Caenorhabditis elegans: one gene and its partner. The protein of the gene in region 2 purifies or fractionates together with the protein of the main gene of each other region. This does not show direct contact. Each region holds a gene or a part of one and is shown on either strand. Other genes may lie near its edges.

Region 1 (4,887 bases), on a different chromosome or scaffold from region 2:
CATCTCAAAGTTTAGTTGGAAATTGAAAATAAGTGCAGGCGCGAGGCAGGTAAGCGCTGACATGGTTAAAACCAACAAATGAAAACGAGAAATTCCCAACAAATTTCAATTTCTAATTGCTTAATCTAATTGCGAACCAATAAAACGGAAACTAACAACAAACAAAAGAAAATTTTCAACCCTCTTCTTTTTTCATTCGTTCATTTCCATTTTAAAGCATTGGCAAGGCCTTTCCATTTCCCCTCTCTCTCTCACTTTTCTTGACCGCAAGCAAGAGTGTAACATTTTGTAGTAAAGATTCTCTGAAGTCTCTTCCCATCTGTTTCAGTCGTTTTTTATTATTTTATTCTGTGATTTCTCCGATTTCTCCGATTTTCTCCAAGTGTTTTTTGTTAGTATTAGTATTACACTGATACTTATTTGTCTCGATTTTTGAGATTTGAGATTTCTCGTTCAGATTTTTCAAATTTAAGAAATTTAAAAATGATTTTGGAACTAAAATTTTCAAATATCGTGATTAATCTTTCGCGAACCTTATGTTTTTGCCTCTTAAAAAAAGAAAAAATACATATTCAAATGACTAAAACAAGTATGATTCATTCCACGAATGTTTATAAACTGAAATTTATTTTGATATTGTCATTCGTTACTCAATTAAAATTTTTTTTTGAGAGTTTCTTATGCCTACTGGCTTGCCTATGCCTGCCTACCTACCTGCCATTTTCATATAGCAGGAGTGAACAGGCTTACGAGTTTGTACTCACTAAAGTTTCTCCGGAGTCTTAAATTTAATTTCTAAGAGTCCAAAAGATGTTCACTACGTCTCAAAATTTTGATGCATTCATTCATTCTTCATGTACAAAGTTTCCATGACAGTGTTTTCTGCCTCCTGCCTCCCTGTCTACCTGCCCTGTAGGCCTGTAGGTACTGCATAGTTGGCCTGCTTAAAAGCCATTATTCCTCCCCAATTGAAAATTGAATTTCCAAAAACCCCAGAATATTTTCTCTGCGTCTCTAAATTTTCCGCTACATCTTTTGTTGTTCAGTCAGTTGTTTTTTCTTTTTATTCGTTTTTTTTTCAGTTCAGTTTGAGGTTTTGTGACAAACAACATGTTATGCAATTGAAGAGAGGATTAGTTATTTTTCTATATGCTTTTTTCTGAAGAATATGCTTTTGGTTTGCGTTTTATTTTGGGTTTTTTTCTAACTTTGAAATTTTCAAAGATGGTCTATCTTAACTTGTCCAGCTTTGTCTAGGTTTAAAATTGTTTTCAAATTTCGAAAATTATCGAAAATCGCATATAAAACCAAGATTTTGAATAATAGAAGTAAATTAGATTTAAATACTGCGGTATAAATGAATATGCAATAACCTAGAAACTTGAAAAAAAAAACATACATACCTGCCTACATGTTTGCCGACTTACGTGCCTGCCTGTACCGACGTGGTTACCTGCTTGCCTATTTACCTGAATTCTTGCCTACCTAAATGCCTACCTATACCTACGTGGTTGCCCACATGACTGCCTAGGCTACTCTCTTCTACCTAGTTATGAAACTAAAAAGTTTATTGCAATCATGATCATCCCTAAATTAAATTAATTGTTTTTCTTGCGTTGGAAAAACAACATAACAAAAATAAAAAAAACAAAGAAAAAACTGCATGAGCTCATTGAAATTCGATGCCTTTCTTTTTTCTTTTTCTTTTTCTATTCATAGACCAACCACCCAAACACTTTAATATTCACCATTTTTTCTTGTTTATCTCATTTTATTTCCTCCGTCCAGTTCCAATTTTTCAATCTTCTTTAAAATTGGCAAAATCAAATTGAAAATGCATGTCATTTTTCCTGAAATTAACTTCACTTTATTTTCAGAATCAGCCAGACCCACGATTTCTTTTTCAAACTGCCAAATGACGTGAAAATGAGAGAAGAGCCAACATTGCTCAATCTTCCAAATGAAGTCTTGTTGAAGGTTTGTACCATTAAGCCCAACAGAAAACCATTCATTTTTTAGGTTATCCGTAACTTGCCACGTCATGATATATTCTTTGGTGTTGCTCATGTAAATAATCGGTTTCGAGGATTGGTGCAAAAGAATTTGAAAACTATCAGACTGTGGGTTAATAAAACTGTTTGCCTACCTATACCCACAAGCCTGCCTACATGCCAAAAATTATGTCTACCTACAAACCTATCTATACCTGCATGCCTGCCCATCTACCTACAAGGCTACGTACCTGGCCACATGCCTACGCACCTGTCTACCTAACATAAGTATTTATCTATCCCTTACATGCATATCTATCTACATACTTGCATACTTGCCTACTTGCCTACATGCCTACCTAGATTCATTCCAATATATTTTTGACATGTTCAGAAATTTCTCAATTTTTATCAATATTTGTAATTCCCATATTTTCCAGATTTGAAGCTCACTGCCACGTCAACATCGTAGACAACAGACCTCTATCAAAATACCGCGAAGATGGAACTGACCCGATTATCACATACAGTTTCACACTATTTGATACACGAGGACCTGGTTTGTAAACTACTAGAAGATCATCTAAAAACTTACCATATTTCAGAGTTTACACAAAAACGGCGTCTGTGCCTCCGCGGAAATGATGTTCGATACAAGGAGCTTCATGTTTCCCATTTCAGCGATTCAACAATGCAAGCTCAATTTGAAAGAGTTGGAACAAGACATGATGTTTCAGTTTCTCCAATTACTACAAGAACGGTAAGTTTTCTTAAAAATTATCTTTACTCCGTAAAAATTTTATTCAGCTCCTGGCCTACATGAATTTGCAAGCAATCAGATTTCAAGTTCGGAAGCAATGCAAACCAGAGTCTCAAAGAATTGAGGATAACTTTTTTGCTGACTGTTTAACGTTTTTTGATAAAGTTTGCGGTCGAGTAGAAATCAAGTAAGTTGCACATTTTCCTTACTATTTTTACAATAATACTTTAGATCTCTGCTCCTCTGCTCAAAAACCATCCTGTTCCCTTGGCAACTTGCACCAAAGTCACTGATAAAGCTATCAGAACTTCAAGGTCTTCAAAACTTGATTTTGGAAAATATGACAACCTTCGATCCATTCTCAAGTTTTCTGAAACTTCCCACTAAGAATCTGGCGAGTTTGCAATTCCGATTAGATCCCAGGCATCGGATGGATATTGATCAAATGACAATGGCACCAGTAAATGGTAGGTTTCAAAAAATTACTAAAATACTTCTGGCATACAGAACTGATCAAAAAAGGGTATAATTTTTCAGGATCACTTCTAAAAATTTTATCATCATCTGCAGTTTACCGTCTTGATTTCTCCGCTTACACGGAAGTTTCTCAAATTGTCAGTGCCATCGATGCAGTTGACATGTGCTTTTTTATCGAGGTACTTCACAAATTATTAACTTGAAATTCAAACTTCTTCAGAAATGGCACTATTCCCCCAAACCATGGATTATCAAAGGAATCTCATTCAACTCTACAGTTACAATCGATGAATTTCGAATTGCAGTCTATAAAACTTTACCGTGAGTTTCAAGTTTGAGACATGGTGCATTGGCTTCTCCACTTCGAAAATTGCGTCACACGCGTCTGAATTTCCAGCAATTTTGTAGATCAAACGGGGAGGGATAGGGCTCGCTTATAATACTTTTAGGAAATCTAGTTTGGCTGCTATCTGAAAAGCCATTCCGGCTCTGAATTTTTTGATTAGAAATCATCGATGAAGCGCGTTTGCATTCATCTAGCAATTGGTGAAAAATTAATAAAATATGTTTCAGGCCAAACTTCGCCATACCTGTCCCCTACTGTCGATTTCAAACAAGCCATCGAACCTCGATGGGCATCGTTTTGGAATTGGCATGCTACGCAAACGGAGTGAGTTTTCTTTTTGATTTGAATTATAAAAAAAAATCAATAAATTCGAATTTTCAGACAGCAACCCAGTGGATCATTCGTACCGGTTACATAAATTCGTGTTAGACGAACCATCAATTTTTCGGTGAAAATCAATATTTTGCTCAGTGATTCTGTATTTTTAAATTTTGTATATAAACGGGTTAATCATATTTAATGTTTTAATTTTTCTCTTTAATGAATTTTTTTTAGTGATTAAGCATCAGTCTTGAATCGAGAAAAATAATGTTAAATTTCAGAACAAATAAAACACATTAAAAATGTTAAAGGTAAATTGGTTTTTTTTGAGCTTCCAGGCTCTCAGTCTTTGAACCCATAAATGTTATCAAAAAGTTGCATAAAGACCCAGAAATTCTACAAAATAAGATAACAGGGAGTTTGAAATTACAGTACTCTTTAACGGCGCGCACCTTATTATAGTGAGCAAAATTTTGTCGTGTCGAGACCGGGAACCGTACTTTCGTGTTCAATTTTGCAAACTTCGCATCCGGGTAATAGTTTGATTTTGATTCCTCACTCAGATTCATTGAAATACATAAATATAAACATTTTATTAGGTCTCATGTTTCCCCCACTTTCGATAAGATATTGTTGTTTGCGAAAATTCGGTCAATTATCAACAAATTGTTCGATAAGATAAGCATTGACTGCTCTTTAAAACTGCACATTCTGGCCAGTTTTCGTTTATTACGATTTTTGGAACGATTTCTGGAGTTTAAGAATTTTTTTCGATTTGCAATGAATAGAATTTCGAAAGTTGATGTCAAAGTGAACATTTTGACTTTTCTACAGTTCCGGTTCAGCAGTTTTTCCGGCGCCAAAAATAGGTTAAATGCCGCGAAAATTGTCAGTTTTGTCTCACTTTCGAAATTTCGAAACATATTTATCAAGAACGAGGCTGTCATTTTCAGTATTTAAATTTGATTCGATTTCACTATTTTAACTTTACC
Region 2 (4,063 bases):
TCAACCCACTTTCAATGGAAAATAATGCCACTTGGAACCAATAATGGGTATTTCGGCCGGTCTGAATGGCATAAATCGGTTCAACTCCTGATCGTCTCTAGTATCCGAAGGTGTGATTCCAACTGATTCTAGGCATCTTCCCATTCCTCGATCCTCTCCTCTATCGTAAGGACATAGCCTTACGTTGTGGTAGAGTTGTTCCACAAACATTCGCATTGCTGCGTTCGACAAAATGTACCCGGAGCCTCCAGAATTGTAGCCATTGTTCTGGAATGAAAACAACTTTTCAGTTAATTCTGTCCTTTCCTGCAATCAACCTACCATGAAAGGTGCTAATCGATATCCCAAGTATAAAGGTTCTGCTGGATTCAAAGTGTTTAGATACTCCCTTAAATGATCCATTGCCACAAATGTATCATCATCTGTCTTCAGGTACCAATCAAAATGTTTTGAAATGCTGGTATATGAGTAATACAAACTGAATATTGATTTTCGGAACAAATCATCATAGGTATCCCTTAGATTTCGGTAAACTGTAGAATATGCAATGTCAGGGTAAGGAAGATGAGTTTTTGTAAAGAATCGTCCGTGATCACACCTTGGAAGCCACGTGGAGGCAACTGATGGGACACGGTCTTTGTAATATTTTGTAGAAGTTTCAACGAAGCAAAATATCTGGCCGGATGTTGGAAGTGTGAACGTGGCAGGGGAATGTTCGATTCCTTGGATTAGGATTTGAACATCTCGAGTTCTGAAAACATTTTATTAGAAAAAGTACTGTAGGAGTACTGTAGTTTTGGAAACAATGTCTCTTGAGCTTTTGAAAAGTTATATGGGGCTGGTGTGGGACAGTATCGAGATGCTGTAGTGGAGCTGTAGTGTACTGTAATAGTTCTGTAGTTTTGGCAAAACTAGAAGTTTACGGTCAGAGCTTGCCGGGAATAGTACCGAGATACTGTAGAGGAGCTATAGGATTACTGTAATAATACTGTACGCAGTCAACCACTTCGGCTCATCCTCTAGAGTGGTGCAACGCACATTGACAACTCAAATTGTGTCTCTGAATTTGAAAATTTTGAAATTCTAAATGGTGTCGAAGTAATGTAGGGGTACTGTCGGATTACTGAACACAAGTATTATTCAAATGCTGTTAGACAGAATACCGTTTAAACTTTTGAAAAAAAATTATTGCAATTGACATTTATTTCCGATAAATTTAGATTTTATACTGAAAATCAAAGAATTTATTTTACTAGATATCAAAGTTATATCGAACACAAGAAACTCTCCGGACATTTTTTAAAAACTAACGAGATTTTTTATTTCTCAGTACAAAATATAAAAAAATTCGTTGGAATAAAAATTGCCAAAAACAACTCCCTGTAATTTTATTAACATTAGATAAACTAAAAAATACCCCAATAGGATTTTTACTATGATTTGACAGAGGCGAACAACTCACGGAAAGAAGAACTCCTTATATGGTAGAATAGCTGGAGAATATGCATATAACTCTGCTGGTATTCTAAAAAAAATTATTACTGGAATTAGAAAAATTTTTCAAAGCTTACTGAAACTTTCTCCGCTCTGGGAAAGAGATGTAATTGATCAGTGCCACCACAAAAACTGCCAGTAACGCAATCCGATCGATGCGGTCAAAACCGTGTCTTTTTGATAAGAGTTGCTGGGAGAAAATAAAACATCGAGTTTTAAACTTTTGAAGAACTATGTCCATTGTTGAATGCCAGGTGCCGAATTTTAGAAACTTTAATGGCAAATGTTTCGCAGAATTTCTTTGAGTGCTTATCTGGCGATCCTCATCGCCATCCAGATTGAAATCAAAGAAAGAAAAGATTATCTCGTTCCTGAATTTTTGAGGCTGAAGTGTAGCAGATTTGCTATTTAAGTCATTTCCATTTTCATTTAAATTTCACAAAAATGCGGCAAAGCTCAGCTTTAGTTTTTTTCTCGACTATTTTTCTATTTTTTCTGTGTTATATACGGACGCAGTCGAGATTTCAATTCAGTTCCAAAAATCCTGGAATTAAGACAATGGAGGAAAACTATGACGCTTGGCACAGTTGTTTTATGAATAATATTTCACACTTTGAAGGTTATCCAGACGAGGTAAGTAGCTAAAGCTTAGGCTTAGGCTTAGGCTTAGACTTGTCCCTACCTCAACTTCATAGGGATATCCTTTGGTCTGAAATGAAATATTTAACATTGTTTGGTCTTTTTTATAGAATGAAACTGTTCCAAAGTTTGCGACTCAATTTCACAAGATAAGATAACAGTTGTATTAGGTTTTCACGGTACATTTTTCACATTTAAAGCAAAATACTAATTTCAAAGACAATGATTTTTTAGCTTTGGGACAACATGTTCAACGGGATCCGAAGATGCGAATATATCAAAGAAATGAAATATTTACCAATTCTGGATTTTCTGAATTCTGACGAGGCGAAAAGACATATACTTCCAAAAATGGTATTTAAAATTTTAATTTGTGGAGAAAAATTTGACAACCTTTTTTGCTCAGAACCAACCTAGTACCATAGTCACTCTGGGCATCGGACATGATACCGGAGCAGAGGAGAAGCTTCTTCAGGTTTTGTTGTTCTAGCCATTTAATTTAACGAATCCAGTTTTCAGCAACTACCAGAAGGATCCGAGTTCTTTGGGGCCGATCCCATGCACGAAATCAACGAAAATTTATACACAAGTATCCCAGGAAAATACTTTCCATTTGCAGTCGGAGCAGCTCCTGGACTTGCGGAAGCTAATGTGCTAATTGATAGTAAGTTGATCAGCATATTTTCATTGAATCATTGAACCATTTTCAGCTTCATACACTACAAAAACAGTTGTCAATGTGGATATTATATATTTTCTGACAAAATTGATCAATAGAACTGTAAATTACTTTAGGAAAAACTGAAAACTTGAATACACTGAAATTTCAGGTAATCGATGATCTGTGGATGGACGCAGAAGGCGCTGAATATGGAATGTTTGAGTTTTTCTATAATGGTGGAGAATTTGATAAAAATAACATTAAATTTTGCCAAATCAATATTGAGGTTTGTGATTTAAATGGAAATTAATAAATTCAAAAAAAATCCTTTCCAGATTCATGTTCCCGACACCCACCAGAAAAAACTGATTCACGACTTTATTTTTCAGCTGATGAAAGATCGAAGATATGCTATTTTTAGGTAATTCCTTTTTTTGCTCTATGATTTTATGTCAGGCAAGCCCGTCCTTCTTCCAGCTTGTAAAAATCAAATTTTCAAGGCAGGCTCGTGAAATCTCGACGTGTCTTGTATCCCAGAAACATGTTATAATTTTCAGACCAGTAAAAGGAAAGCACATGCGTCTTTATCTGCTCAATTTCAAGGATGATAACTGTGCCCATAACTATATTCTCTAGGATTTTCTATGTGAATGTTTTGTTATTTTTTAATATTTAAATAAACAGTGTTAGAACCAAACTACAGAAAGCTACAGTACCCCTACAGTAATCTTTCACCCAACACAATACAATAACCTGGAAATAAATTATTTATGATTGACAACAACACACCCAAAACAAGTTTAACAATTTTCAGCAAACTCTGAAAAAACAGTGAAAAAAATTGGTGAGATTTTAAGAAAAAAATCATGTTGTCAAAAGTGTAAATTATCCCAAAATGAATATTTCAGAAGGCTACAGCAATTTTACAGTACTCATGGACTACCCAGTACAAAATCAGAACATTTCGGTACAAACTAAACCGGCAAAGTTCTTTTTTAACGTCACCAAAAACGTTTTCAGGTATTTTTATTAAAGCCATCATGATTTCCATTCCTAGATTTTTCTTGATTCAACCCTCAAAAAATTGAGAAAAATATTTTTTCACAAAAAATGTCAGCTTGTCAAAAATTTATTCAAAACCACCAAAAATAAAGTTAACAGTATAAATAAGGGACCCGCAAAATGTCCGGCGCTCATAAAATTATTGCAAACTCTCGACGATTGTCATGACATCCGACGCGGAAAACTTCAACGGAACCCAGTGAGACG

Evidence for each region.
Region 1: the proteins of C17A2.7 (region 2) and T03F6.4 fractionate together in Caenorhabditis elegans (co-fractionation; one large-scale study listed by BioGRID). This does not show direct contact.

The regions. Positions count from the first base shown.
Region 1 is NC_003281.10:13,384,273-13,389,159, forward strand, and holds T03F6.4 (F-box domain-containing protein), read left to right. Parts: upstream 1-1,877; 5' UTR 1,878-1,926; coding exon 1,927-1,977; intron 1,978-2,019; coding exon 2,020-2,120; intron 2,121-2,431; coding exon 2,432-2,550; intron 2,551-2,596; coding exon 2,597-2,751; intron 2,752-2,798; coding exon 2,799-2,938; intron 2,939-2,982; coding exon 2,983-3,218; intron 3,219-3,288; coding exon 3,289-3,407; intron 3,408-3,448; coding exon 3,449-3,549; intron 3,550-3,801; coding exon 3,802-3,898; intron 3,899-3,955; coding exon 3,956-4,003; 3' UTR 4,004-4,087; downstream 4,088-4,887.
Region 2 is NC_003280.10:3,841,281-3,845,343, reverse strand, and holds C17A2.7 (Methyltransferase FkbM domain-containing protein), read left to right. Parts: upstream 1-1,938; coding exon 1,939-2,127; intron 2,128-2,367; coding exon 2,368-2,487; intron 2,488-2,539; coding exon 2,540-2,608; intron 2,609-2,652; coding exon 2,653-2,797; intron 2,798-2,843; coding exon 2,844-2,914; intron 2,915-2,963; coding exon 2,964-3,080; intron 3,081-3,129; coding exon 3,130-3,215; intron 3,216-3,351; coding exon 3,352-3,430; downstream 3,431-4,063. Other genes in the region: C17A2.3 (N-acetylgalactosaminide beta-1,3-galactosyltransferase), read right to left, coding at 10-267, 322-751, 1,463-1,525, 1,572-1,735.